Elephas maximus indicus: one gene and its partners. The protein of the gene in region 2 purifies or fractionates together with the protein of the main gene of each other region. This does not show direct contact. Links are inferred from orthologs where the notes say so. Each region holds a gene or a part of one and is shown on either strand. Other genes may lie near its edges.

Region 1 (7,428 bases), on a different chromosome or scaffold from region 2:
GTTTTCTGGCCAGGGAGGTGAATTCGAAAGGGGGAAAGGCAAAGATGTACAAAGGGTCAAAATTCAACTGCACTAGGTAAACTTAAAGAAATCCCTATTTCCCTTGCCAGTGACCAGAAGCAAAGCCCCAGACCATCTACCTCAGAAAGTGCATTTTGGAAATAGACACATATTAATGTAATATTCAGAAATGACTTCCCTGTCTCTTCAACACTTTACCCAAGATAGACGAAAACTTTGATTCTAACCCCAAATATATTCTGCAAGATGCCACTGCTAGAATAAACCAAGATTTACAATACAATCACTTTAAGTGCCCCACAGCTAACATCAATCCTAATCCTTGAGAGGGCTAAAAATAAAGATTGTAGGGCAGCTCACAAGGTAGCCGTGATCAAATTAGGAGGCTGAGAGGACAGAGAGGGATGAAGAAGGAAGCTTATAAACATCTGATCCAGCTGACTGTGGCCATATGGCAGCTGCTGCCCAGATAAAGAGATTAAGAATAGAAGAGTGCGATTACAGCTGTCTGGCCAATTCAGGCAGCTCAAATCTACAAGTTCTAAATTAGTCGCTAACACAAAAACTCCTGCAAATAATTATTGTTATGCTGAAATAAAAGATCTCTTAAATATATATTCGAAAGAGAAATGAGGAAACCAGTCAAACTATTCTCCTGGGGACAAAAGTTTTTTTTTTTTTCCCTTAAAAAAAAAAAACACCCTCGGTTTCAAAAGCACTACAGCTGTACGTTTCAGTAGAGCTGCTGAATGTTTTGAAGAATAAAGTTTCACAGTGGAATTAATTACACAACAATCTAGCTCCTTAACTAGAATAATCTTCTCATACAAGTTTGAATGCTTAATTCCAGACAGTTTACTATTTCTCCCCCCAAAAGCAAAAGTAATCTAAATAGCAGTGGGGGGAAAAAAAAAAGGCATTTTAATCCAAAGTGATCTCAAAAAGCAGTATTTCAAAAGCCTTTCTTAACATTTCAAAAGTTGAAATATTTGTGTATTAAAGTTACTTACTCAAGTAAAAGGGATAAAAATTAAAACTAAACAAGCCCAAGCCTTTCAACTCCAGTAAGATGTTCATTTAGTACTCAATTTCATATATTATTCCTAAACTGGATTAGAAAAGGAATGTGATTTTTTTTAAATTAAATAAACAAAACACCAAAACAGAAATATGCTCGGTCTAATCTATTGCTACTCCTACCTTTAGGACACATAAACCTGATTAAGTCCTTCCCTCTGAGTCTTGCTGGCTCCAGGTCTGTTACATCGGTGGGAAAAAAGCAGACTAAGAGAGACAGATGCAAAGTGGAGATGATGTTAGAGAGGAATGAGATACCTTCTCCACCACAGATCCGCACACACTAACTCCCTGTCTGTGTGTTAGAATAAAAGGCTGAGGGATGGCAGGCTGTCAGCTGCTCTGACATCATGTTCAGATGGAAATGCTACCTCCAGCTGTGCCCCTTTTAATGCCATATGCTACTCCTCTACACTCCTGCCACCAGCTTTTTCTTAGGAGAACTTTTCTCTTCTGTTAGTATAAACAGAATACTTCAAAGTCTCCCTTTTTTTTCCAAACTTTCTAACAGAGGAAATTGAAAAACTCAGCATATGAAGTTCTACTGTATTTATGGAATAGCAACACTTCTGTCTTAAAGTTGGTGGACTGCCTTATATACTGACAAGCACACTCAAACCACCGTGCTATTCAGGAAACTCAGAATTCACTTCTATTCAACGCCAACCTTTAGCTCTAAAGGCAGCTTAGGAATATTTTTAAACCAACCCACTTGACATCTCCAGCCCCATTTCAACATCATTACGGCACTTTCATTTTTTTTTTTTCCCCCTGCTGATAGTGGGATACATGTCTCGGAAATGTTGGAAGACTTACTGAGAATTATGACTTCAACCTAGTTCACTTTATTATTTCACTCTTACTTAACTACTTATCCACAACTACCTTTTCTCAGGGAAAATTTCTCACAGGGCCACAGTTAATGCAAATTTGAATTCTCAGTATCAACAAGCTGAAACTGTACTTTCTGAAATCCTGGAAAGTGCTTCGGTCCAATGAGACAAATTAATAAACTGATACAGCTTGCCAGGGTCACTTAAAATGAATGCCGCACCTGCAGATCTGATCTGCTCAGAAAAAGCAGAACCTTGTCCCCTCCTTGATCTGTGTCCCATAACAATCTTTTTTTGGGTCACTCTGTAATGTTCATGATCACAAGAAAACCTTTCAGAAGAGACAGAGAAAGAAAAAGGAAAAAAAAAAAAAAAACGGGTCTGGTAAGTTTGGGAAACTTTCGCTAGACTTTGTGGGCCTTTTCGAATGGGTCATGAAATTCTAACACAACCCCGGAGGAGCGACATCTGTGAATGTCAAATACAACTCCACAATTTTGGATGGGTGAGGAGAAGAAAAGGAGCTGGGGCCTGAGGCGCAAGTGTCCCAGCCTCGGTGGTAATTACTCTGTTCTCATTAGAAAACTGTGGCAAAGAGTTACAGAGTAACTAAAACCAACAACTCTGTCCTTTTCGTTCCCCCCAAAGTCACAAACCTAACTTTCTCTAACTTCCCGGTGAGTGACATAATTCTGAATGCCTATTTCAGGAGGCACTTTTTGGAGATAAATTCCTTCTCAGCCACACAACCTATTCTCCACAAATGCCCTCGCCCCATTCCAATATATCAGGCATTAATCACCCCATTTACCCAGTGGGGTGGGGGGTGAGTGACAGTTTAATGAGTCCCAAGCACCGCAATGGGCCAGCGACTCCCACTCCACAAATCAACCCTCTACGTCTCGCTACCGAGGTCCAGAGAGGTTTTGTGAGGTTGGGTTTTTGTTTTTCAAAGAGGCGGGGTGGGGGTGCGGAGTGGGGAGGGGAAGAAATGCAAATCTCTACGTAGTTCTCCGAGCCTACAACACACTGGGGAAAGAGGAAGATTAAACCACAGGGAAGGAGGTGTAGGGCATAGAGCCGGTGCAGCAGTCAAACACCTTCAACAACAAACGAGGAAACAGACCCGGGTCACGGCAACAACAAAAGAAAAGTCCTAAGAAGAAGCCAGTCGGAGGAGGCTGGTTGCTACCGCTTCCCCGACGCCACCGCACACGAGCCCCCAGGGCCTCCCGGCAACTGCACCAGCCCCGGGGGCCCCTCCCCCAGCCCCCTCCCCCCGGGCGCCACTGCAGCTGCACCGGTCCCCGGAGCCGCGTCCGTCCCGGGCGCCACTGCAGCTGCGGCAGCTCCCAAGCCCCCTCCCCCCGCCGGCCGCCCTCCGCACCCGAGAGGCGCCGCCGCAGCTGCACCGGCCGGGAGCCCGCCCCGCGCCGCAGCTGCACCGGCCGGGGGGAGCGCGGCGCGGAGCCGGCAGCCCGCACCCGCCCGGCCCGCAGCTGCAGCGGCCCGGCCCCGGCCCCGGCCCCGGCCCGGCCTCCCGCAGCTGCACCGCCCCCCGCCGCCCCAACAGCTCCAACCCCACAAACTAACTCCACTCGTGGGGGCGCCCGGCCCGGCCCGCCCTCCGCCCGCACTGGCCCGCCGGCCGGGGCGGCACAGCTGGCGCCCCCGCCCCCAGAGGGCCGGGGCGAAGGGGCGCCGGGTCAGGGGCCGGGGGCCGGAGCCGGGACTCACACGGAGCGGCCCTAAGTCACCGCGTCCCCGCCGCCGCCGCGTCCTCCGCCGCCTCCTCCCGGCCGCCGCCGCCGCCGCCGCCGCCGCCGGACTTGGTGGGCTTCCTCCTCCTCCTCTTGCCCCCCTCCCGCCCGACCCCCACCCCCCAATCCCGGCTCCGTCGTCCGCTCCCCCCCGCCCCTCCCTCCCTCCCTCCCACCCACCCCCGCTGGCAGCCGGAGGAGCGCGGCGGAGCGAAGAGGCCCCACTCTCAACGGCTCCCCATGGCAGCAGCCCAGCGGCGGCCGCAGCCTGCCAGACACAGCGAGGGAGCGAGCGAGGAGCGAGCGCGGAGCCACGGGCTGGGGGGGCTGCGGCGGGGGGGCGGGGGCGGGGGGAGGGGAGGGGGCGGGAGGACGCACCACGCACGCACGCGGCGGCGCCGGCCAGATGTTCCCCCCTCAGTCCGCCCCTCTCCTCCGCCTGCCTCCCGCCCTCCCGGCGTTGGGCTTCAGCGATTGACCGAAAGCGGCTGGACCGGCGCTCCCCGCCCGCCCCCATCCCGCAGTCTCTTCCAATAGGAAGGCGGCTTTTCGGGAAGGTGAAGGAGGTGGTGGGCAATCGTCGGACTGACAAGCGGGCCCTGCCAATGGGAGAGGCGAGCCGGGGCTGCCGCTTGCATGTGCCAATCAAAGGCAGAAACTGTTGGGGTGGGCGGGGCCCGGGCCGGGCGGGGCCGGCAGCAAAGTGGCGAGGGGTGGAGTCCTGAGGCGCAGCGGCCGCGGCGGCGGCGGCAGCGGCAGCGGCGCCCCTCTGGGTGACTTGGCCGTGAGAAAGTGAAAGGAGCCCGCAGGCGGCGGCGACAGCTGCGCTGGGAGGGGCTTGTTTCCAGGCTAGGAGGCCTCGCGCGCCCTGGGGGTGCGGAGCAAGCGTTTCGGTGCGCCCCGTGACAACCGTAAATGCACTTTCAAGTGCAGTGGGTCTTGGCTGCTCTAAGTTACGCAGGTATCCTCAGGAGGCAGGGTAGACGGGGACACAGATGACTCGAGTCCGGCGTTAGGTGGCTCCCTCCGCTTCTTCCTGCTGCTGGTGACGACGCCCAGGTCCTCGCCTGCCCGAGCGCGGCGAGGCAGGACTCGGAACGTTCTCGCTGCGTCCTGCGGTGTCCGGTCTCCAGGTGCACCTCAGGGCGCTGAGGACGCGACCCGCCCAGAGGCACAGTTTCCGGGCGTTTTCTTCCTTCTGTCGTCATGTTTCGGGCAAAGTAAAACGCCTGAATTCCTCGCAGAACTCTCATGCCCTATATGTACTTACAGTGTTAAAAGTAAGGGCATTCCCAAGTGACCAAATTGTAGAGAGTTTACAGTAAAATGGGTACTTGTAGATGCCCTAGCCTGATTGCTTAATTGGTACTTATCCAGCCACAACTTTAAACTACGAGGGAGGACTTGTGTCACTTTTCTCTCCCCTCCAGTAAACTTTTGCTCAGTACCTGTTCTCCACGAATCGTGTTAATCACTGCCGCGGCCACAAAGAAGGGTAGAAATTTTTACCCTCAAGAAATTAAAAATTCGAGGAGGCAAAGATTACAAGTAAAAAGTTGAATGACAAGTGAAAAAAAAAGTTTCAAGAAAATAGGAAATAGCGTAGTAAGGGAGACAGTGTAATAATGTTCATCGTCAAATGAAATGTATTTATTCTTTGCTAAGTGACCGAGAACTGAGAAGCCCGTTGCTAAACAACTTGCCAGGAGACCTTTCAACAGAGTAAAATGTGGTGGTTTTCTCTTTGTTACAGGTCGGAAAGTACTGTTGGAGCAAATCAGACATGTTGAATTGCTAATAAAGTGAAAACAGGAGCACACAAAATTGCTGGAACTAAAGTACCATTGGAATATCCTGTTAGAAACAATAATGATGCTGTCTACTGTTCACTCACCCTTCTTTGTACCCTGATGACTGCACACTGATATGAAGGTCATCTTGTGATAACTAGAGTGTTTTACTCCTTGCAATCTATTGCTGTATCTGTGCTTTGATGAATTCTAGGCCCAACTCCAGCCCGACCTCTTTAAAGTTAGGGAACTCTGGATAGATGATATACACTGTAAAAAAAAAAAAAAGAGAGAGAGAGAGAGAGATGGAAAAGGGAGTATCGTGTATCATGTTTTGCTAACAGCTCAGGAATAAAGAGAAAAAAAAAGTTTGCATTCTCGAAGCTGTTTCTCACTAAAAATTAAAAATCAGGAAGATAAGAGATCTCTGGATGAATGGACAAAGTATTTGATAGGGCTCAGGTATTAAACAGTACATTTCATGAGAAAATTAAAGCATTCAGAATGTACATAAGCTTACAAATTCAGCTGTAAACCATATAGAGCAACATCACAGCCTTAAAACAAGGTTTTAGAGATTCATCTAGAAGTAGAATTAACAGCCATCAGAGATTGGGGGGAGCAAAGAGGGAGGGAGAAACTGATGGATCAAAAGTTATGACCATTTTTTTTCTCATAACAGTTATTACTAGATTCCATTTTGAGAACTGACTAGCTCGTCCAGGAAATATAGACTAAATGGTTATTTAGAGAAGCAAGCATGCCCCCCTCAATTATATGAAAGATTTATGAATTTATGAAAATGCCTGGAACATTCATGCACTGTCAAAAATCAATAAAAATGTTTCTGGGCATTGATTGTATGCAAGGAAGGTGCTCTGCTAGGGATACGGGAGACATCAAAAAAGTGCAAGACAAGTTTTCTTCTTCCTGGAACTTAAATTTAGTTGGGAAAGAAGTGGCATAAATATATTAAAATGCCAAACAACAGAGACACTAAATGACAATGTAATAGGATATGAATCTCGGAGTTAAATTTAATGTTCAGTTGCTACATTTTATCCCCAATCCCTGGTGCAATTGTATTTTTTTTCTTTTATGTCTTTAAAATAATTTTCACTTTCTGACTTTGAACTGTTTTTTGTTAAGTGTATTGTGCAAATGATACCTTTAATCCTCTTTGGAAAGACATCAGCATACAAAATGTCCAAAAAAACAAGACTGATATCAGAGACGTCATAATACAGAATGATTACTATTTTTCTTCAGCACGCACCGGAGCTGTGAAAGGTAATAAGTCCAACTCTAAACTCCTCCCTTGAGTAAGCTCCTTAAAGGAGCGTCTGTTTACCTCTGTATAATAGGCTTAACATAGTCCCATGATACTTTCATGGCAGATTTTTTTTAAGAGCTAAGGGTTTTGTTTTGGGTTAGTAATCTACTGTCTTCCCTGCCCCCCCCCCCAGTGAAAAAAGAAAAAAATTACAAAAACTACAGTCTCTAGCTACTGGAAAAAATAAACAATTAAACTTTCCCTCTGGAGGAATCACAGTCTTGTAGAGTGTCCAGTTAATCCATGCTTTTCTGGGAGTCCTGAAATTAAAAATGATCCAAGTGAAGCTACATTCATGATTAGATTTCTGGCCAGAGAACAAGTTTTATTTTAATAGCACATACACTTTGACCAATAACAATTTAACACTATAAAATGTTGACGGACCACATCAAATTTAATGTGATGTGCAATTCTGTAAAATGAATGTCTGACTTTTTAAATGTGAACCGCAGGTCAAATCCTTGAAAGACAGCAATTTTTTTTTTTTTATTATTTTGTGAAATAGGTCACATTGAAAAAGTTACCTATAAAAGTAATTTTTGAATGCTAGCTTTTAATGACACCATTAACTTCATATATAATTGGAAAGTTTTTCTCTAAAAATTAGGGAG
Region 2 (7,517 bases):
TGAGGTAATTCTATGATTGGGTATCTTAATAATTCTTATCTAGAAGGGAGAAAGAATGGGACAGGTTAGGACTATCATTGGTAAAGAAATAGCTGGCAGTCATATTAGCTAGAATGTTTGGTCATTTTTGTGGTTTGTTTTTGATTTGCTGTCTTCAAACATTATTTCAAAGGGGTCTTGGTTTTGTCTCGTCCTTTATGGTCACAGAGTAGCCTTGTTTGATGTTGGTATTCTGTGAGATTGTCTATATTCAATAGAACACCTAGACTTTGCTGGAAATGCCAGGCAAGCTCCTGGCAACACTAGGCATAGCTGATAGAGATGGGCCTGCTTCTGGCTGTGCAGGCTACTTTTTTTCACCAACAAAGCTATCAACTACAACAATTATCTCCATAATTACAATTTACAACTCTTTGGCTTTCTGAAAATTTAGAGTATTTATCAGGATTTTTAGGGTAATAAATTGTAAAACTGGATTACAGCTCTAGAGACAACTGCAGTTGTTTAATCATTTATAAAACATGCAAGACCCTCTAATATATGCTGTGGTAAAGAGAGTATAGACGGGGCCTCAAGGAACTTAGTTTCTCTTGGGAGAACTGGGAGGGTGGCGATGGTGGGAACAGTTGTGAGAAGTTCTTAACTATGAGAACAAGTATTATAAGAGAGGCACAGTGTTCAATAGTTAGACCAAGGATGATCTTCTCATCGCCGAATGGCTCTGGAATTGGGAGTAAGACTAGTGCTGTAACTTTTGGGAACCGCTTGAAGTCTTAGTCACTAGAGCTAGATTACATCTGTAGTTCTGACAGATTTGCATGGTGCAGCCTGTCTGTGTAGGAACAGTATAGGGAGCTTGTTAAAATTAGGTACTATAGATTCCAGGGCGCCAACTCCAGAGTGTCTGATTCTGTGAGTCTGAGGGGACCCTCGATCTGAATTTCAAAAGCTTCTTGAGTGATTCATTCAAACAGACTGGAAACCAATGATTTTGATTTTCTCTAATATTTTGTGACTTTGAAGGGGAGCAGATTTTAAGGAGGTATAACGGAAGGACATAGTATTTTAGTTACATTTTTGGGAATAAAATAAGTATTAAACAGTAAGAGATGGGACACTTCAGGAAAATCCCCAAGTAGTGACTCAGTAACCGCTTGGGCTCACTAGGTAAGAATTTTCCTTCAGGGAACAGATGAGATTAATACATTGTATCCACCGTTGTGAGCCAATGTCCCTACTATTTTCTGCATATCTACACAAAGGAAGAATAAGGTATAAATCACCTGCCTAAAGTGCCTCTTCCTCACCCTTTTAAAAATGAATTCTGTGTACTCCTCTTTTCTGATATGTCTCCATCAAAAAAAAGTTATAAAGGACTATACCATAGGCAGAGGCTGTAATTAAATTTTATCATGGACTCACATGATTTTCTCCAACATTTTATTATAAAAAATTTCAAACAGAAGTTGAAAATATTGTACAGTCAACATCTGTATACCTACCTCCTATATTCTGCAAGTAACATTTTACTGTATTTGCTTTATCGTGTATCTAGCTAGCCATCAATCCATCTTATGTTTTTAAAATGTATTTCAAAGTAAATTAGACATCACTACACTTCATGTGCCCTGAATACTTCAGCATGTATACCTTAACTAGATTTCAACATCTTAGGTAAGATTTACATACAGAGAAGTGCATAAAACTTAGAGTACCATTTAATGAGTTTTGACAAATGTATACACCTATGTAACCCAATAATCACCACCCAGTGCCTCTTCCAAGTTAATGCCTCTTCCCAGAGGCACACCCCAAAGCCAACCACTCTTCTGATTTTTTTCATCATAGATTAGTTTTGCCTGCTCTAGTCTTTCATATAAATGGAATCTCACTCTTTTGTAAGGATTCTTTCATTCAACATAAGGTTTTTGAGGTTCATCCATGTTGATTTGTGAATCAGTATGTTTAGTGGTATTCCACTGAATGAATATAATACAGTTCATGTATCCATTCTATTACTGATGGACATCTGGGCTGTTTACAGTTTCTGGTGATCACGAATAAATCTCCTATGAACATTTTTGTACAAGTCTTTTCCTGATATATGCTTTTATTTCTCTTGCGTAAATAGCTAGAAGTGGAACTGCTGGGTCATAAAAGTAGGTATATGTTTAACTTATACGAAACTGATAGATCCATAATTTTGACACAGGGATAGTAATGAAAAGGCTTAAAACACCATCTGCCTTTGCTCAAAATACAGCCTGGTAGAGATGGCAAAGGATCTGTCAGTGGAGCTCTAGGGCTCTGGAAGATAACCCTATAGGTATAGTGATGAAAGCTGTGTGGACAACATCCATGAGTGAATGCAGTTTGGGCAGTGCATTTGATAGTGAATAACGTACATGAAACCCATTAAACAATCTTTGCCCTTAGACCTCCCCCCAATGAAACAAAAAAAACCCCAAAAGCAGAAAACCAAACCAGATGCTGTCGAGTCGACTCCACCTAATATATTGGAAGTAGACTGACAGGCCTTTCTTCTGAGACACCTGATCTGAACTACTAACCTTTTGATTGGTAGCTGAGCACTTAACTTTTGCGCCACCTAGGTTTCTTGCAAACAGTTGCTAGGCTGCTACCTGAAAGGCTGGAGATTTGAGTCCACCCGGAGGCCTCAGAAGAAAAGCCTGCAATCTAACTCCATAAAAATCAGCCACTGAAAACCCTGTGAAGTGCAGTTCTACTGACACACCCAGGGTCACCATGAGTCATAATTCACTCCACGGCAAGTGGTGATCAAGCTCAGAAAGAGGTGAAATCTCTGTGTGACAGACGTAAAATAAAAGTCATTTTTGACAAAGAGACCAGTATTAGCAAAGATTTCAAAGAGTAAAGGCTGGGTGAGGCTGGCCACTGTGGTGGGAAAATTACACAGGGCAGGGACCAACATTGGTCCCCAAGTTGGGATGCTTCTTGAATTCTGCAATACTGCTTCCTCAGTGAGCTCTCTCAAGTTATCTCAAGTTACCCTTAGTAGCTTTTCAAAACACTAGCCACTTCTCCCCTCAAAGGTGACCAGGGTCCACGCAAAAGAAAAAAGAAACCGTCTGAAAGGAGCTCTTTCAACTTCCTGACTGAAACGTCCATCTGTAATATATATTCATCCTTTCCTTATTCCCTCCAATCGCAATGAAAAGAGTGTCTCTCCTAAGGTACTGAGACCCTATCTTCTCAGTGGCCTTGCTGTATCATCTCTTTTCATTCCCTTCTCTTCCTCCACATTGGCTCATTCCTATCAGTATTTGAACCTTCTCAAATTTATCGCATGTGAAAACTAATCTTCCCTCACCATCAGGTACCATTCTGGTTACTGCCCTCTTTGTTCTCATTATATCCAGAATTTCTAACAAGTTGTTTGTCCACAACCTCGTTTTCACCTTGGTCACCGAGGGCCGCCTCGAACAGTTTGTGTAGCGCCTGACAATCATTTTTAAGTATATGATGGATGGGATTCTGAGGGTGCAGACAATAAAGTCATCTATAGCTTGTAGTTCGGGTGGATGACTCACTGGGTTGAGAAAGTGTTTCTCTCTCAGTTGTTTATGGACAATTTGATACACATTTGCAATAAAGTCAGCATTACGCCACAAGCATGAAAACAAGTAGGGTAACACTGTGGTTGCCTGGTTTCCCAGAACCCATCAGCCCCTCACAAGAGGTCAAGGGCCCACATCACCTAAGGGCCACGCGTTTCCCATCCCACCGGAGGAGCAGCCTGGGCCCAGAATGGTCCTTCCGGTGGCAGCCGTTTTACCGCTCCGGGGGCCTCGGTCTCCCACTCCGGGGGGAGCCGAGCGGCTCCCGGCCAATGGCAGCTCTTGAACTTACACCTCGAGACGTCAGCGCGGCTGTGCAAACGGATGTCACACAGCTGGCTCGGAAGCGTCTCCACCCGCCCCAAAAGAAGGGCGGGGGCGAAGCGGCCTCCACGAGACCTGGGGCGTCGGGAGGGAGGAGCGCGCGCCGCACCCCGCGAGCGCCGCACCCACGCCAACCACTTGTTTCCTGCAGTCCCCTGCCGGGCCGCGGTCCCGGGTGAGCAGCCGAGCGCCGGCGCCTTAGCTCGGAGCGCGCTGCTGCAGCTGGCTCCGCCCCCTCCCGGAGCGGGCCGCGCGACCCCGCGGCGCCGAGCTGTGTCGCGGGCGCGCGCGCCGCCAGCGGAGCCGCAGTTAAAATGGTCTGAACCCGACCCGGCGCTTCCCCGGCTGCCGCGGTGACTGACTGAGCCACCGGGCCGAGCCAGGACTGGTAGCCTAGCCGGCAGGCTCTCTCGCTCCCTCGCGTCCCCTAAGCTCGCTCCCATCGTTCTCCCGGCTTCCCTGGGCAAAGCATGTAGCCCCCGTCGGGCGCCGGGGCGGCCCCCAGCTGACGCCCACCCCCCACCGTCGCGTGTGTGTCCGTGCGTGCGTGCAGGGCAGGCGACCCCACCGCGGGCCCGAGGCCGAGCCAGCGAGCGGCCTGCCCCGCTGCCGGGAGCCCGCCTCTTCGGGCCTCCCTCTTGCCCCGTCCCCGTCCCCGTCCTCGGGGCCTTCTATATGGGCCACCTTCTCTCGAAAGAACCGCGTAACCGCCCGAGCCAGAAGAGGCCTCGCTGTTGCAGCTGGTGCCGCCGCCGCCGCCCTCTCCTCAGACTGCCCCGCCGGCCCCCGGCCAAGGCGCCCCCTCAGGCGGCGGCGCCCCGGAGCCGGGACTGCTTCTTCCGCGGGCCCTGCATGCTCTGCTTCATCGTGCACAGCCCCGGCGCGCCCGCCCCCGCCGGCCCAGAGGAGGAGCCGTCGCTTTCGCCGCCGCCGCGGGACGGGGCCTACGCCGCCACCGCCTCCTCGCAGCACCTGGCGCAGCGCTACGCGGCCCTGGCCGCCGAGGATTGCGCCGCTGCCGCCCGCCACTTCCTACTGTCCTCGGCCGCCGCCGCCGCCGCTGCCGCTGCTTCGGCCTCGTCGCCCGCCTCCTGCTGCAAAGAGCTGGGGCTGGCCGCGGCCGCCGCCTGGGAGCAGCAGGGCCGGAGCCTCTTCCTGGCCAGCGTGGGGCCCGTGCGCTTCCTGGGGCCGCCCGTCGCCGTGCAACTCTTCCGGGGGCCGTCGCCGTCGCCGCCGCCACCGCCACCGCCGGCCGAGGCCCCCACGCCCCCCGAGATGGTGTGCAAGCGGAAGGGGGCCGGGGTGCCCGCCTGCACCCCCTGCAAGCAGCCCCGCTGCGGCGGCGGGGGCTGCGGCGGCGGCGGCGGGGGAGGGCCTGCGGGGGGAGGTGCCTCGCCGCCGAGGCCCCCAGACGCCGGCTGCTGCCAGGGCCCGGAGCAGCCCCCACAGACGCTCTGTCCTGGGCCCTCCTCCCCCACTTCTGAAGGTGTCACTACAGAGGCGGTCGGGGGCGCTGTCCGAGCGGGAGGCGGCGCTCCCTTGCCAGCCCAGAAGCAGCACGAATGTGGCGACGCGGACTGTCAGGAGCCCCGCGAAGTCCCCTGCGACTGTTACAAGGAGCCACCCCCGGAAACCCCAGACATCAATCAGCTGCCGCCGTCCATCCTGCTCAAGGTGGGTCTGTGCTAGAGGCGCAGGGATGTTCGCTTTCCCCCAACTCCGGCCCTAGTCTGCGAGTTTTCCTCTCTCCTCCTCCTCAGCGCGGGGAGGGGGCTTCACTGATTGCTGGGGACGTCCGAACCAGAGGTTGGGAAGCCAATGGGGAGGATGCTTATGCTTTTTTTTAAGTAGGCAAAGTTGGAATCTGCTGAACGTCTTTTAATATCTCTGATCTGTTACTCATAATTCAGGGTTCACTCATTAGATTCCCAGCCCAGTGGTTTAGCAACTATTTGTAGGTTTCTATGAAATATTTTATTAACTGAACAATTTATAGTTATTGCGTAAAAACTTTGTTAGTATTTGAAAACTTTCAAACGATACTTTCAGGTTTCTTAGCTGATGTTATTAACGGTTAATTTTTATTGAGCATTCACTATGATCAGGCACTGTGCCAGAGATTTGTATACATAATATCACATTTAATTCTCCACATAACTCTGTGAGATAAATACTGTTAACATCCTTATTTTATATAAAAAGAAACTGATATTTGAGTGCTGTAGACCTGGGCTTACAGTAGTGAGTCAGGCAGAAGTGGTTCTTTCTCCTATGGAGGTTATAGTCTAGTGGGGCTTGAAGCCATTGAATGACTTGTCCGAGGTTACACACAAAGGGGTAGATTTAGGTCTTCAAATAGGGAATTTAGGCCTGCCTGTCTTAGGAAAAAAGTTCTTGTTCTTTTTGTTATATTATGTTCCTTTCCTACTTTTTAACCCGTAAACAAAAGCATAGAAATGATCAGAAGGTAAGAACAGGTATGTATTTTGTTGGGGGTGGGGAGGTGGGTGAAGCAGGTGTGTGTTTTGTGTAAGCTTTATGTCACTTTCAAATACTAAGTGAACTTTGCAATTTTGTCAATTGGCAATGCTAGTGACAAACTTTGATTTATGTGATCAAGTTTGTATTAAGTTACTAATTTCTTTGTTGTTCTTATTTTCTCTTTTCTCTCCCCTTCTCCTTTCTTGGGACTTAATAAATATAAATTATGTTTTTTTCAGTTTGATTAGCCATAAATAACCTTGATAAGTATTGGATTACTTTTCTTCTTACTGAAGGTCACAAATATACTTTTTTAAATTAGTCTTTGTGTTCAGATCTGTTTTATTGTGATATTAATGTTCTTGTGAATAATACAGCTAAAGCGGGGGAAAGCTTAACTTTTCCTTCTGTCAAAATGTTACGACTTAACTCTTATGGAGCTCTGGTTGTTGGAGGAGCGAGTGCCTGTTGTGTTTGTGCAGGGGGTGGATTTTTTTTTAATTATAGGGAAGTTTATTTCTCTCACATGTAAAAGAAGTCCAGAAATAGGTAAATCTGTGGTTGGTACATTACCCTATGGTCTTCTGTCTTGCTGTTTTGCCGTCTTTTTCTGCTTTTTTTTTACTTTTGGTGAAAATAAAAAAAACAGCAAAACCTACACCACTTCAACAATTTCTGCAGGCACAAGTCAGTGACATTGGTTACATTCTTCAAGTTGTGCCACTTTTGTCAACAGCCTTTTCCGAACTCTTTCACTGTCGTTAACAAAAACTGCCTCCAAAGCTTCTCATCTGTCCTTTCGAGTTGCTGTTGTCCATTTGATGACATATAGATAATTCTTTAAAAAGAGTATAATGCTTAATGTAGATATTTTTTTCTAATTAGGCTAAACCTGATATTTGGTTCAAAGATGACTTCAGGGAATAGATTGGTTAAAGGTTTAAAGATTTCCTCAGGATAATCGTTTCAGGGGGTCATTTGGCCTCAATGGCTGAATTCCATGGATTTTCCATGAATCAGTCATAAAATTGACATGAATCAATCACAAAAGGTCCAATTTTGTATGCTCTCACTTACATGAAATCACAAAAGTAAGCAAATGTCTATTAGTTA
Region 3 (7,459 bases), on a different chromosome or scaffold from region 2:
CAGACTAAGACAGACTAGGAAAAAAGGCCTGGTGATCTACTTCTGAAAAGTCAACTAATGAAAACCTATCGATCACAAAGGTCTGATCCCATTGTGTCTGCGGTCACCATGAGTAAGGGGCCAACTTTTGGCAGCTAATGACAGCATAATATATTATTACTTTTTATTGTGAGCATTGTTTTGAATAAATCTGTACAATCCATAGTATTTACAAGTCTGGATATGCATTCATGTATTTAGTTCATTTAAAAATTATTAGGATAAATAGAAACATTAGTTTAATAATTAAAAATATTATATTTTACTTAACTAAAAAATAAAAATTAAAAAAAAGGAAACAGACGAAAAGGTTGCCAGGTTGCTTACCAAAATAGATTGTAAGGAGAAATATACTAAACTGTTCAGGGTTCAACATTTTACTAATTGCCTACTATGTGACAGGCTGGGTGAAGTGGTGGGGGTAGTCAGTATAAATAATATATGGTTCCTAGCCTCAAGGTACTTCGTTCTGATGGATAATATATATGTTAGTTCCACAGACAGAATGATAGGCTATTGCCCCTAGAACCTGAAAAGGCAAAGTATTCCTCTACTAAGATAGTTAACGACAGTCAAGTTCCAACATCAAAGATCAATTGAGTCAGCCCCATCCCAGAGTTATGGTAAACGAGTATCAAGATGACCTACAGCAGCCTAAAGTGAAATTAGGGGACAAATTGGCTGGGGATGCCCCATTCTTGAGGGGTTCCCCTGGTAGGCATAAGGGGGAATTCCCTTAAATATGGTAGAACCCCCAAGAGTAAATATAGGGGCTAGAGGGGAGAACAGATCCCTGCTGGGTAGTAGGAGACTGAAAGGAGTGGGGGAATTCCTAAGAACGCCACTTACACAGTAGGAGATCCCCTTCTGTTACTCAAAGGGTATTCTGAGACATTTGTGATTACTATTCCCTTGATCTTTGTTTCTGATTCGATCTTCCTTCAGGGTTTAGAGGAAGACAACTGAATACAGAAATAGATATAAATGCAGAAATATAAATACGAACAGTTTGGCTGTTACAAGTTCAGTGGTCCTAGGATTCAGGCCGTTTTGTTTGTACTGTTTGAATCTAGTGTCATTCATTTCTAATTAGTCCAAGTTTAAACGTAATTCCAGACAGAAGACAACGTGGATCTAACAAATACAAGGCAATGATATATGTCTGACAAATGCAGTCCTGACATAATTAATACCATTTCTGGTTAATCTGTCACTACCAGAAATCAAAAATAATAATACTAGCATAAACTCACATAGTGCTTATTATGTCCTATAGGGTCGCTATGAGTTGGAATCGACTTGACAGCAACAAGTTGTTTTTTTTTGCTTTTTATGTACTATGCATAAAAGATGAAAAGAAGATTCGAGTTAATAGTTTCAGGAAGGAAACGGATTTTAATGTTGAAATAAAAATTCTGAAGTCCATTTTCACTTCCCACGATCTTTGATAAGTAATTAACTTCAGTAACTTTTCCCTCTTTTTACAGGAGATGGGGTGGTAGGATGGTGGTAGTTAAAATATAATAATGTATTTATTTGCAAAGTGCCTTGAATTAAGAAAAACAATAACTCATTTAAGGAGAAGGCACAATGTTATTATTACGCTCTTCCAAATACTACATGGAAGCACATAGTATTATATACAGTCAAGTGAGTAGAATCTTCTCATTTCTACAGGATACAAATTAAGTCAAGGTCACAGATTCCACCGTCTTAAACTTCCATACAAACAAAATAAAGCAAGACAACATCCCCAAAAATATACTAACCCAAGGACTTCATAACAGAATTTCAAGCTGTTGATCGCTGGTGGCCTGGTAAGAATATGGATGGCCAGGGTAAGGGGTACATATGATCATCACTAGAAAAATAACTCAAAGCAAAATCTTTTCATGGCAGGTTAGTAGTGCCATTCTTTACATTAAAATTACGTTTAATCTATAAGGTAGAGCTAATTTTTTTTTGTTTGATATACAACACTGCTCATTTACACACATACTAAAACTACAATTAATTCAGAGTTGCTTTGAATAAATTTACAATCACTGGTATTTATCACTCTCTGCACTCGTATACGTAGTCCATTTAAAAATATTCATACAAATAATATTTCATAATATCTTGGAAAATCTTTTAAAATTTTTGAGAAATAAAGCATACATACATTATATGTTTAAAGACTAAGTGACAGTATGCAATATTGTTATTCTAAAAATAGAAAAATAAATCAATATATATTTTAAGTTCTAAAAAGAACAAGAAGCATAAAACTGCCGTCGAGTCAATTCTGACTCATAGCGACCCTATAGGACAGAACAGAACTGCCCCATTGAGTTTCCAAGGAGTGCCTGGTGGATTCGAACTGCTGGCCTTTTTGTTGGCGGCCATAGCACTTAATGACTACGCCGTCAGAGCCTAAACATTGTAATACATGGTCTTTATAAAACACACATAACTTCACATAAAATATAATTATATATTCTAAATACGTAACTACTATATATATTACTATATTTGTTATGTAGAAAGTTAAAGTTCCTAGCTTAACTCCTCCCACTAGCTATTAACTATAGTTTGTGTGTATTTTTTTCTACGCACATCCCAATATATGTATTACTATTAGTATAAAAAACGTATCCTACCATTTAAGTATTTTTTCCCAGTCAACTATGTATTTTGGACACATTTTATGTTTTTTTATTCAACTTCTAATAAACATATTTTCTAAAAGAGTAAAAAGCCCTTCCATAGTTTGAGAACATTTTTCCCCTGAAATGAGTTTGAAAACAATAGTTTAAAATTTACCTTACGTTGTAAAATCCTAAACGGACTCTAAATATTTAAGCGTTCACTAAATGTAATGTATTAAGGAATTTTAAAATGAGCGTGGGGCTCTGAGTTGAAGCTTTTTCAAAGTTTTTTTTTTTTAACTCTACCAAGATTTTAATTATGGAAGCTTCATTTCCAGCTCAATCAGTCCTTGTAATTGCTCTAAATTCCACATATAATGTAAACAGTTAAAAAAATTAAAAATTAATTATTTTAAGCATATAATCTTCGGAGTCGCACCACATCCGTATAAGCAGACTCCTCCCCGCTCCTGGGGAAAACCCTGCCTAATATTTATAACGTTATGACATACTGTAATACTCACAAGGTGGTTGTAGAAGTATAAACACGACTGGAGTTATCTGATTGGCTGCTGGTGATGTAACACTCATGTCAATACTTCCCAGTGAACGCACGTGTTCGACCTTTTATTTAAATTTCCATTTCATCACAGCAATAAGACACTCGGGGCGGTGCATTTTCTGTGAAATGATTATTGCCTTGGGCCTGAGTTGCTGCTCGCATACACAATGCATCAGAGGAGGAGGTATCCACGGTTGTAACCTCCTCGCGTGAAAGGCACCGCCTGGTCCAGTCTTTGTGAAGGAACAAAATTAAGTTCACTTCCTTGGGCACCGCCACCCACCCCCGACCAAATGACAAGGCTGGAGCGCAGCTCCCACCGCACAGTTATTTCCAAAGTCCCAGGTGAACTCGTAGCGAGAGAAGGAAAATGTGCGTCCCGGGCGCGGGTAGGTGCGTGTGGGCAGCGGGGAGGCAGCCAGACCCTGACACTCGCCAGCTGTTTGTCCTCCGCGTAGCCCGGCCCCGGCTGCACACGTCCGCCCCCTCCCCGAGACCCCCAGCCTGCTGCCCGGCCTTTTGTCCCCCGCCCTCGGCCGACTTCCTTCCCCGCAGCCGCACCCCCGCCCCCAGGCCGGAGGCGCGGCCCGGCCCCTTTCCCGGTCCCCTGGCGCCCCCACCCTACCCCAGCCCAGCCCCAAGCCCAGCCCCCCTCCCCCAGCCCGGCCCCCACCCTTTCCCCCTCCAGCGGTTACTGCTACCCCGGTGCATTGTGGGCGCACGGTCCGTTGTTCATTTGCCATTCGACCTCCGCCAGGGCCTGGTCGGACGGAAACGCTCCGCCGGCTTTATTGTCGGTTCGTTATGTGGCGGAGCCCAGCAGTTTAATGTGCTCCTCGCCCTCGGCGCCTCGGCAGCCGGCGGCAGCCTTGGGACTCCTCGGTGCGCCGGAGGAAGGATATCTGTTTTGGAGGGTCTGTGTGTGCGCGCGGCTTTAAAGAAGAGGCAGCGGAGGGTCTCTCCGCACTCCGCCTCTCAACTTCGAAGGCCCCACGCGCCCCCGGCTCGCTCCTCACCTCTCCGCCGCCCGCCCCCTTCTCCGCGCGGGACGCTGCCGGGCGCGCAGCGGGGCGGGGGTGGAGGACGAGGAGAGCGGCCGGAGGCGGCGGCCCGGCGGGCGGCGGCGGACGCGAAAGGTAGCCGGGAGCGAGCGAGAACCGGCCGGGCGGGAGGGCGAGGCCGAGCCCCGCGAGACCGGAACGCCGGGGGCGGGGGCGAAGCGGAGGGGGAGCGCGCGGGACGCGGCCCGAGGCCGTGCGCGAGCCGGGGCACCGGGAGGCGGCGGCGGCGCGCGCCATGTCGTTCAGTGAAATGAACCGCAGGACGCTGGCGTTCCGAGGAGGCGGGTTGGTCACCGCCAGCGGCGGCGGCTCCACGAACAATAACGCTGGCGGGGAGGCCTCGACTTGGCCTCACCAGCCCCAGCCGCGACAGCCCCAGCCGCCAGCGCCGCCAGCGCCTCAGCAGCTCAATGGGCGGGGGGCCGACGAGGAAGTGGAATTGGAGGGCCTGGAGCCCCAGGACCTGGAGGCCTCCGCTGGGGCGGCCGCCGCCGCCGCCGAGGAAACCAAGGAGTTGTTGCTCCCGCAAGACGCGGGCGGCCCCACCTCGCTGGGCGGCGGTGGCGCGGGGGGGCCCCTGCTAGCGGAAAGGAACCGTCGGACTCTGGCCTTCCGAGGCGGCGGCGGCGGCGGGGGTCTCGGCAACAATGGCAGTAGCCGCTGCCGCCCCGAGACCTCGGCGTGGCGCCTGAGACATTTCAATGGGCGAGGGCCGGCGACTGTGGACCTGGAGCTGGACGCGTTGGAGGGGAAGGAGTTGATGCAGGACGGCGCGTCCCTGAGCGACAGCACGGAGGACGAGGAGGAGGGGGCGAGCCTGGGCGACGGCAGCGGGGCGGAAGGCGGCAGCTGCGGCAGCAGCAGGCGGTCTGGCGGCGATGGCGGGGACGAAGTCGAGGGCAGCGGCGTGGGAGCTGGCGAGGGAGAGACTGTCCAGCACTTCCCGCTTGCGCGACCCAAGTCTCTAATGCAAAAGCTACACTGCTCGTTCCAGAGCTCCTGGCTCAAAGATTTTCCTTGGCTGCGGTATTCCAAGGATACTGGCCTTATGTCTTGCGGCTGGTGCCAAAAGACCCCTGAGGACGGGGGAAGCGGGGACCTTCCCCAACTGGGGCATGATGAGCTTTCGCGAGGGACCCGCAACTACAAGAAAACCCTTCTCCTGAGGCACCACGTCTCTACCGAGCACAAAGCCAACGCCCAGGTAGAGTATATCCTGCCTTTACTTTCTCAGATTGCTTCGGGAAAGGCTTATCAGCTAAAAACCCCGTTTTCCTGTGTGAAAGCATGGTTCCAGTTAACAGCTATGCGGGGAGCCTATGCGTGGGGGTTTGGAAAGCCTGGGAACAAGTTTTCAAAGTTTGTGTGTGTGGTGATGGTGGGGGCGCAGAGTGTGTTTCTCCATTTATTTTTTTGTGACACAGATTTTTTTTTTTTTTTTTTGGCGTCATGAGATTGAATCGAAAGTTTGAGAAAGTGAGACTGAAGTTTTTAACGTAAAAGGTTGACTTGGCGCTGAAAGACTTTCTTAGCCGTGGTTTTAGAGAAGGCGCCTTATGTTCATAGTCCTTTAAGATTGTGTGCTGGTGAAAGTCAAATTTGGCAACTCTTTGAAGAATGAATTAAACACTTTCCTAAACCTTTGGTGCACCCCTTTCCGGAAAACTTCTAACCAGAAAGTTCTTTATATCAGGTCAGGATATTGTGAAATATGAGAGGTGTATAGATGTAGAGGAAGCTATTTTGGATAACACTCCTTTCTCGTGAATAATTTTACTAAATTCATTCCCATTGAACTTCTTGCAGAGGGAAAAAGGCTTGCTTTTGGTTAACTATTGTAGTTTTTGTTTACCTTGTTTGCGTCTATCTAGATTTCTTGGGTTGAGCTATTCTAATTTTCAACAAGTTGCTTAAAAATGCAGTTTACATTAAATACTTTAAAAAAACTTAGCATTGGATTAATCCTTAGCATTAATGTGAAGTTATTTGCATCAACTATATGATTTGAACTGGTAAGAGAATTTACCAAACTACCAGAAATCATAAGTCCTTAGTTATAAAACAAGCTGTTCTTAGTCCTTGTTTTGACATTTTCCAGCCTAAAGATAGTAGTCTTACCATTTTGATAACCCTTTTCAAGCCAAATAGATCTTTCAGTCTTTTTAGATAACTTGAGTTGGTGAATGTAATTCATTCTTTGTATTGGTAGCCAGTCGTTGATTTTAGAAAGTCAGCTCTCATAGTCTTTCTTTTATTGGAGTGATCTTGCCATTCAGCGAACTTTTACTGAAGTTAATTAGGCACCATCCAGTGGCCCTTAAGCATAGGAGTATCTCAGAAGTTAAGGCTTTAACTTTGTAGCACAGGGCTGTGCTTTTCCCAGTGGACAGTCCAGTCGTTTTTGCACAAATTTTAGTTGCTTGAATCCTGGAAGAGAAGTCATGTTAAGATATAAGGCCCAGAAAGGTTAAGTGAATTGTCCGACTAGAACCTACAAGGAATGCTGTAATGGAGAAAGAATGGGTTTTGGAGTAAATCTGGATTCAGGTCTCAGCTTTCTGCAGTTATTAGCTTTATGAACTTGGGCGGTGGAGTGAAATAAAACTAACATTTCCTTGTCTTTCGTGTGCCAAGCACACATTTACCTTACTCTGTACTTAGTTTTATTCCCATTTTACAGAAGAGGAATCTGAGTCTTTAATAACTTACTTTTAAAATTATTTAGTAAGATGGTTGAGTGGGGGGGGCTTATGAAATTAATACTTGCTTTCCAAATAATGGTAGGTTGGTTATTTAGAAAAATTTTTAAAAGACAGAATGAATTTTCTTAACCTACAGTGGACCAGTTACTCCTCTTATTGATGTAGTCTTTCCTGTAGGCAAATCTGAATGGGAACGCAAATTTTAGTTAGGTAGCTGCTTAAACCCATTGCCATCGGGATTCAGACTCATAGTGACCCAGTAGGACAGGGTAGGATTGCCTTATAGGGTTTCCAAAGCAGACTGCTACGTCTTTCTCCCAAGGAGTCATGGCTGGTTTGAACTGCTGACCTTTGGGTTGGCAGCCGAGCGCTTTACCACTGCACCACCAGAGCTTGGTGAACCTGAAATCAGAGGAAGGGGGATTAGTTGGATAACCTAATGGTATACTTTCTAGCAGTGGTACC
Region 4 (7,870 bases), on a different chromosome or scaffold from region 2:
TCCTTCCATCTTCTTTTGATGCTTTTACATCGTTACATATGTTTTGTCCATAGACTCCTCCAATATTGCAACTTGAAGCTTGAATTTTCTTCAGTTCCTTCAGCTTGAGAAATGCCAAGTGTGCTCTTCCCTTTTGGCTTTCTAACTCCAGGTCTTTGCACATTTCATTATAACACTTTACTTTGTCTTCTTGAGCTGCCCTTTGAAATATTCTGTTCACCTCTTTTACTTCATCATTTCTTCTGTTCACTTTAGCTACTCTGTATTCAAAAGCAAGTTTCAGAGTCTTTTCTGACATATAATTTGGCCTTTCTTTTCCATCTTTTTAATGACCTTTTGCTTTCTTCATGTATGATGACCTTGATGCTATTCCACAACTCGTCTGATTTTCAGTCATTAGTGTTCAATGCATCAGTTCTATTCTTGAGATGGTCACTAATTCAAGTGAGATATACTCAAGGTTGTATTTTGGCTGTCATGGATGTGCTCTATTTTTCTTCAGCTTCAACCTGAACTTGCCTATGAACAATTGATGTTCTGTTCTAAAGTTGGCCCCTGGCCTTGTTCTGACTGATGATATTGAGCTTCTTCATTCTCTTTCAGCAGATGAAGTCTATTTGAGTCCTGTGTATTCCATCTGGTGAGGTCCAGGTGTATAACTGCCGTTTATGTTGTTGAACAATGATGTTTGAAATGAAGAAGTCATTGGTCTTGCAAAATCCTGTTGGATGTTCTCCAGTGTTGCATCTTTTACCAAGGCCTTATTTTCCAACTACTGATCCTTCTTCTTTGTTTCTAACTTTTACATTCCAATCACCAGTAATTATCAGTGCATCTTGATTGCGTGTTTGATCAATTCAGACTGCAAAAGTTGGTAAAAATCTTCCATTTCTTCATCTTTGCCATTAGTGGTGGTGTGTAAATTTGAATAATATTCCTACTAACTGGTCTTCCTTGTAGCTGTACGGATATTATCCTATCACTGACATTGCTGTACTTCAGGATAGATCTTGAAATGATTTTTTTTTTTTTTTTTTTTTGACGATGAATGTGATGCCATTCCTCTTCAATTTGTCATTCCTGGCATAGTAGACCATATGATTGTTCAATTCAAAATGGCCAATTCCAGTCCATTTCAGCTCACTAATGCCTAGGATATCAATCTTTATGCATTCCAATTCATTTTTGACAACTTCTAATTTTCCTGGACTTCGTACATTCCACAATCCGATTATTAGTGGATACGTGCAGCTGTTTTTTTCTCATTTTGAGTTGTGCCGCATCGCAAATGAAGGTCCAGAAGGCTTACTCCATCCATGTCATTGTGGGTCATCTTCCGGCACTATATCAGACAGTGTTTCACTGTTATTCATAAGGTTTTCAATGGCAAGTTTTTTGAGAAGTAGACTGCCAGGTCCTTTTCCTAGCCTGTCTTCATCTGGAAGCTCTGCTGAAGGCTGTCCACTGTGCATGACCCTTCTGGTATTTGAAATACTGGTGGCATAGATTCCAGCATCACAGCAATAGGCAAGCCACCACAATAGAACCCAGTAGAGTATGATGTAGAGTATTTAGCAGAAAGGGGTTCTCTCTTTCTTCCTTCCCAGAAAATTGTAAGAACAAAGAAAGAGGGAAGGAGGGAAAATAATCAGACTTTGTTTCCTGTTATCTTCTGAAAAGAGAAAAGTATACCAGGTAGGTTGAGGTGAGCACCAGAGACAATGGGTTCTTGTCCCGCTACTCACTTTAAGAATGGTCATTGGGTACCATCTCATGGGTTACCCCACACCAATCTGGAGGGTCATCACATAATCATGGCATCACAGAATGGTCAGCCAAAGACAGACTCTGAACTTTACAACTCTCCTGACATGTCCTCTCTGCCTTTGTGGTGAACACTGCATTGAGAGGCAATAAGCCTCTAAAGTGGCAGAATGATGTGACTTGTAGCCATGACTGGTGTGGATCACCTGGTCTACAGGCTGGGACACCCAAAGCTGAAGGAAAACTGAATCAACAAATAGAGAAGATAGGTGATTTTCACAGAGAGGTCTGACTAAACTAAAAGAATGAACCTAGGTTGGCCAGCTGCAGATTGCTATATATATTCAGTATATATTCATCTAATATATGTATATTCAGTAAGAACAAGGGAGATCTCTCTGAAGACCTGGTGCCACCAGCACACAAACAAGGACCACACCAAGCTGGAGGTGGGGTTCTCAAAGGTCAGGAGAACATTAAGCCTCCATTCCCATACTTTCAGACACCATTTAAGAAAAAAATCAGAAGGAAAAGACTCAGAGACTGATCATTTAAACAGATCATTTGAAGCATGAGATCAGACTAAGCTTAAAATAAAATTGGACATTCAGTTGTAGTTAATACTACCACCAATAATTCAGGGGTGTGGGATCTGGAAAAGAATTGGTTTAATGATAATAAAATTAAGGCTTTTTTCCTTTTCTTTTCAAATCTAATTTTGAAAACCAGCTACATATAGTTTAGATCATAAATGCAATTTTGTACATATACATTTATCGTATATCTACTTACAGTGTTAAAAACAGTTGCAAACAGTATTTTTATGGCTATATAATAGCAGATGACATGACCTTGCTTGCTGAAAGTGAAGAGGACTTGAAGCACTTACTAATGAAGATCAAAGGCCACACAGCCTTCAGTATGGATTACACCTCAACATAAAGAAAATAAAAATCCTCACAACTGGACCAATGAGCAACATCATGATAAACGGAGAAAAGATTGAAGTTGTCAAGGATTTCATTTTACTTGGATCCACAATCAACGGCCATGGAAGCAGCAGTCAAGAAATCAAAAGACGCGTTGCATTGGGCAAATCTGCTGCAAAGGACCTCTTCAAAGTGTTGAAGGGCAAAGATGTCACCCTGAAGACTAAGGTGCGCCTGACCCAAGCCATGGTATTTTCAATCACATCATATGCATGTGAAAGATGGACAATGAATAAGGAAGACCTAAGAAAAGTTGACGCCTCTGAATTGTGGTGTTGGCAAAGAATATTGAATATGCCATGGACTGCCAAAAGAAAGAACAAATCTGTCTTGGAAGAAGTGCAGCCAGAATGCTCCTTAGAGGCGAGGATGGCGAGACCGCGTCTTCCATACTTTGGACATGTTGTCAGGAGGGATCAGTCACTGGAGAAGGACATCATACTTGGCAGAGTACAGGGTCAGCAGGAAAGGAGAAGACCCTCAACAAGGTGGATTGACACAGTGGCTGCAACAATGAGCTCAAGCATAACAACGATTGTAAGGATGGCGCGGGACATGGCAGTGTTTCATTCTGTTGTGCAAAGGGTCGCTATGAGTCGGAACCGACTTGAGGGCACCTAACAACAACATAATAGCACATTATATGAATGTACAATAACGTACTTAATCATTACCATGTTGTTGACTATTTCGATTATTTTTAATTCCTCAGTATTAAAAATTAAGTTATATGATAGACATGTTTTTGCATAATTTTCCATGTTTAGTATTATTTCGGTAGACCATAATCCTAGAATTTAATTACTGTACCCTTATCCAGACACGTGGAAACCCTGGTGGTGTAGTGGTTAAGTGCAATGTCTGCTTAACCAAAGGGCTGGCAGTTCGAATCTACCAGGCGCTCCTTGGAAACTCTATGGGGTAGTTCTACTCTGTTCTATAGGGCCACTATGAGTCGGAATCGACTGGACAGCACTGGGTTTGTTTGTTTTTATTTTTGTTTTTTTTTTGGTTTTTATCCAGACGCGGGGAAGTTCTGTGTCCAGATTCTATAAATTTGTCACAAATTCTGTAAAACAATGGACACAAGAATGTATACATCCAAGAACAAATAATGGGCGAAGGAAATAATAATATGCATAGTTTTTTTTACATAGTTTTTGGAAAATCGTGTAACCTTTTAGTAAATTGTGAATGGAGAACAAAAAAAAAGCATGAAGAAATTATTTATGATGGAATTGCACTGTGAGCAAAAAATTCAGGACAAATTCAGGATATAATATGATCACGATTTCAGAGAGATGTGTGTTTTAAATAAAATTTGAAAATATGAGCCAAAATGATAATTGAAGTGTCTGTTAAATTGTGTGCGAAAAGAATTGCAGGTAAACTCTTTTATAGACAAAAAATTTTAAGTATCTTCTTCTCATCCCCTCCGGTGCCAGGTTACCACTCAATTTATACACTGGCAGGTTCAAGGAAATTCAAAAGGCAAAGGCAGGAAGTGTAAATCTCATAGGAAAAATATGCATTTTGGAGAGCTCAGACACCGCAAAAATGGTTATACTAAATGCAGCAAAATATACGTGCACTCCTTGCGGCCCATTCAGGGCTACTTCCACTGTGACCCTAGGAAGGTCTGCTCGCCCCCACCCTCGCAACCTCATTTCCCCGTCCCCCGCCCCTCCCTCCAGCATCCCGTGCACTTCCTCTCCCCTCCACTGCACGCCCGCCCACCGATGAGGTCAGGCGAGTGCGCAGCCGCAGTAGCTGCCGCGGCCGCTCCTAACCCAGGGCATCTTGGGACTCGGCTTTTCCGGAAGGAGTGGCTCGGCGTCTCGGGTTAGGCCCGTGTTCCCGGCCCAGGCCCAGGCCCAGGCCCAGGCCCGTGTTCCAGGCTCCTGCTCGAAGACAGGCCCGTGACCGCGGCGACGCGCTGGTGACAGCGGAGGGCGCAGCGGGCCGCTTGCCGAAGTGCCCGGCTTCGCGGCGGAGCTGCAGTACGTGGCGGCGCCTGAAGGAGCGGCAGCGCAGGCCGGCCGAGGTGAACCGGGTTATTTAACTGCCTTCAGGTGATGACTCATCTGCATAATAATCAGATTTGAGGTCCGCAGCCGTTTGTGGTCCTACGGAGCAGTTTTCAGTGGATGACTGTCAGGTGTGCCCTGAGGGGTGCCACAGTTACTGCTCGCCCTTGTTAAGGAAAGCGAGCTGTATTGCTCTTTGGAAGCCCTCGTTTCCTCGAAAACATTGTTTATTAACCTCTTTCTTCAGCATTCTTCTGTCTGTGCAAGAGGAAGGTTTTCACATGAAAGTGTCTCTTGGTAACGGCGAAATGGGCGTCTCTGCCCATTTGCAGCCTTGCAAGGCAGGAACCACGCGCTTTTTTACCAGCAATACTCACAGCTCGGTGGTATTGCAAGGTTTTGATCAGCTTAGAGTAGAAGGATTGCTTTGCGATGTGACCCTGGTACCAGGTGATGGAGATGAAATCTTCCCTGTTCACAGAGCTATGATGGCGTCTGCTAGTGATTATTTCAAAGCCATGTTTACGGGTGGAATGAAAGAACAAGATTTAATGTGCATTAAGCTTCATGGAGTGAACAAGGTTGGTCTGAAGAAAATCATTGATTTTATTTATACTGCGAAACTGTCTCTTAATATGGACAATCTTCAAGACACACTTGAAGCTGCCAGCTTTTTGCAGATTTTACCTGTTTTGGACTTCTGTAAAGTATTTCTTATATCAGGGGTCTCTTTAGATAACTGTGTTGAGGTTGGACGGATTGCTAACACCTACAATCTTATAGAAGTGGACAAATATGTTAATAATTTCATCCTGAAGAATTTTCCTGCATTGTTGAGTACTGGGGAGTTCCTGAAACTCCCTTTTGAGCGGCTTGCCTTTGTGCTTTCCAGTAATAGTCTTAAGCACTGTACTGAACTTGAACTCTTCAAGGCTGCCTGTCGCTGGCTAAGGTTGGAAGACCCTCGGATGGATTATGCTGCAAAATTAATGAAGAACATTCGATTTCCACTGATGACACCGCAGGACCTCATCAATTACGTGCAAACTGTAGATTTCATGAGAACGGACAATACCTGTGTGAATTTGCTTTTGGAAGCTAGCAATTACCAGATGATGCCATATATGCAGCCAGTGATGCAGTCAGACAGAACTGCCATTCGATCTGACTCGACTCACTTGGTTACATTAGGAGGAGTTTTGAGGCAACAGTTGGTTGTCAGTAAAGAATTAAGAATGTATGATGAAAGGGCACAAGAATGGAAATCTTTAGCCCCGATGGATGCTCCTCGTTACCAGCATGGCATTGCTGTCATTGGAAACTTTCTTTATGTGGTTGGTGGTCAAAGTAATTATGATACGAAAGGAAAAACCGCTGTTGATACTGTTTTTAGATTTGATCCTCGGTATAATAAATGGAAGCAAGTTGCATCATTAAATGAAAAGCGCACATTCTTCCACTTGAGCGCCCTCAAAGGATATTTGTATGCGGTTGGTGGGCGAAGTGCAGCTGGTGAACTGGCCACAGTAGAATGTTACAACCCAAGAATGAATGAGTGGAGCTATGTTGCAAAGATGAGTGAACCCCACTATGGCCATGCTGGAACAGTGTATGGAGGTTTAATGTATATTTCAGGCGGAATTACCCATGACACTTTCCAAAATGAGCTCATGTGCTTTGACCCAGATACAGACAAGTGGACACAGAAAGCTCCAATGACTACAGTCAGAGGTCTGCATTGCATGTGTACAGTTGGAGACAAACTCTATGTCATTGGTGGCAATCACTTCAGGGGAACAAGTGATTATGATGACGTTCTAAGCTGTGAATACTATTCACCAACCCTTGACCAGTGGACACCAATTGCTGCTATGTTAAGAGGTCAGAGTGATGTTGGAGTTGCTGTCTTTGAAAATAAAATTTATGTTGTTGGTGGGTACTCTTGGAATAACCGTTGTATGGTAGAAATTGTCCAGAAATATGACCCAGAAAAAGATGAGTGGCACAAAGTTTTTGACCTTCCAGAGTCACTTGGTGGCATTCGAGCTTGTACCCTCACAGTTTTTCCACCTGAAGAAAACCCTGGATCACCTTCTAGAGAATCTCCTCTTTCAGCACCTTCAGATCATTCCTAAGACTAAGGTATAATACATTTGCAGTGCATCATGGATGATCTCTTTTCCTTCAGTTGTATTTCTTTTTACAGTGATTGGTACAGTTATTAGATAAAAGGTAATCGATGTCATTTGTGTTTTTTTGCCTTAGTATGTTTACCAAACGACTAATAAATGCATTCTGAAAATGTGTTCCACATAGCCAGCTGTTTTAACAAATGAAAAAAAAAAAAATGTGTAGAAAATGTTTAAATTAGATGTCTTCTTGTGGTGTTGTGTAAGTCAAATTGGAGGTGATTGTAGTAAATACACTCATGTTACAGAGTTGCAAGTTTTCATCTTTACCTGCAGGACATCGAAGGGAGGCAGCCTGTTGTAACCTAAAACAAGTATTGTTAGCTGACCTCCTCTTTTCGTAGAGCTTTTAACCTATCTGTGAACTGAACTTACCAGATTGTATGGATTCACACTATGAGACATTTCTTGAAAACATGAGAAATAATAAATTCAAAATATTAACTTGAAAAATCAGTAAAGCCCTAAGTCAGAGTTTGATATCTCTTTTTAGAGAGTTAATACACATAATTTTAAAATCCATTTGCACTTCAACTATGTGTGAAATTGTTTTTACATTAAAAAAATTTCCCCACAGATCAGCTATTTCTATTCATATGGGAATTCTGTACCAGAGGATACTGAATTTAGATAGATAAGGGCTGTAACATTAAATTGACAACCAAATTTGTCATTTGACTAAATTGTTGTGTCACATGAAATTTACATTACTTTTCTGCTTTGCTGTTGAAGTAACTTGTACATTGTTTTATGTAGAGTTGCTTTTCTTCAGGTTATTTAGCAAAGTTCAAATTTCAAAGAATTGTTTTTACTCAATGTAGGTTTCACTATTTTTGTTCAGTAAAACCTAGGAAAAAAGTGAAGAAATAATGCTGAACAAAGTTAAAGAATTTTAAGTTCA

Evidence for each region.
Region 1: the proteins of FBXL17 (region 2) and ZBTB18 purify together in Homo sapiens (co-immunoprecipitation; 3 studies listed by BioGRID and IntAct, with this or other methods). This does not show direct contact. The link is inferred for Elephas maximus indicus from reciprocal best matches to the Homo sapiens genes FBXL17 and ZBTB18.
Region 3: the proteins of FBXL17 (region 2) and ZBTB10 purify together in Homo sapiens (affinity purification with western blotting; 3 studies listed by BioGRID and IntAct, with this or other methods). This does not show direct contact. The link is inferred for Elephas maximus indicus from reciprocal best matches to the Homo sapiens genes FBXL17 and ZBTB10.
Region 4: the proteins of FBXL17 (region 2) and KLHL9 purify together in Homo sapiens (co-immunoprecipitation; 3 studies listed by BioGRID and IntAct, with this or other methods). This does not show direct contact. The link is inferred for Elephas maximus indicus from reciprocal best matches to the Homo sapiens genes FBXL17 and KLHL9.

Annotation. Positions count from the first base shown.
Region 1 is NC_064842.1:20,159,502-20,166,929, forward strand, and holds the start of ZBTB18 (zinc finger and BTB domain-containing protein 18), read right to left. Parts: upstream 3,004-7,428; 5' UTR 1,235-3,003; coding exon 1,222-1,234; intron 1,181-1,221; exon of another isoform or gene 1-1,180.
Region 2 is NC_064820.1:117,507,031-117,514,547, reverse strand, and holds the start of FBXL17 (F-box/LRR-repeat protein 17), read left to right. Parts: upstream 1-4,504; 5' UTR 4,505-4,598; coding exon 4,599-5,597; intron 5,598-7,517. UniProt on the Homo sapiens protein: Substrate-recognition component of the SCF(FBXL17) E3 ubiquitin ligase complex, a key component of a quality control pathway required to ensure functional dimerization of BTB domain-containing proteins (dimerization quality control, DQC).
Region 3 is NC_064833.1:61,170,357-61,177,815, reverse strand, and holds the start of ZBTB10 (zinc finger and BTB domain-containing protein 10), read left to right. Parts: upstream 1-4,448; 5' UTR 4,449-4,527; coding exon 4,528-5,496; intron 5,497-7,459. UniProt on the Homo sapiens protein: May be involved in transcriptional regulation.
Region 4 is NC_064827.1:30,999,965-31,007,834, reverse strand, and holds the start of KLHL9 (kelch-like protein 9), read left to right. Parts: upstream 1-4,852; 5' UTR 4,853-5,061; coding exon 5,062-6,915; 3' UTR 6,916-7,870.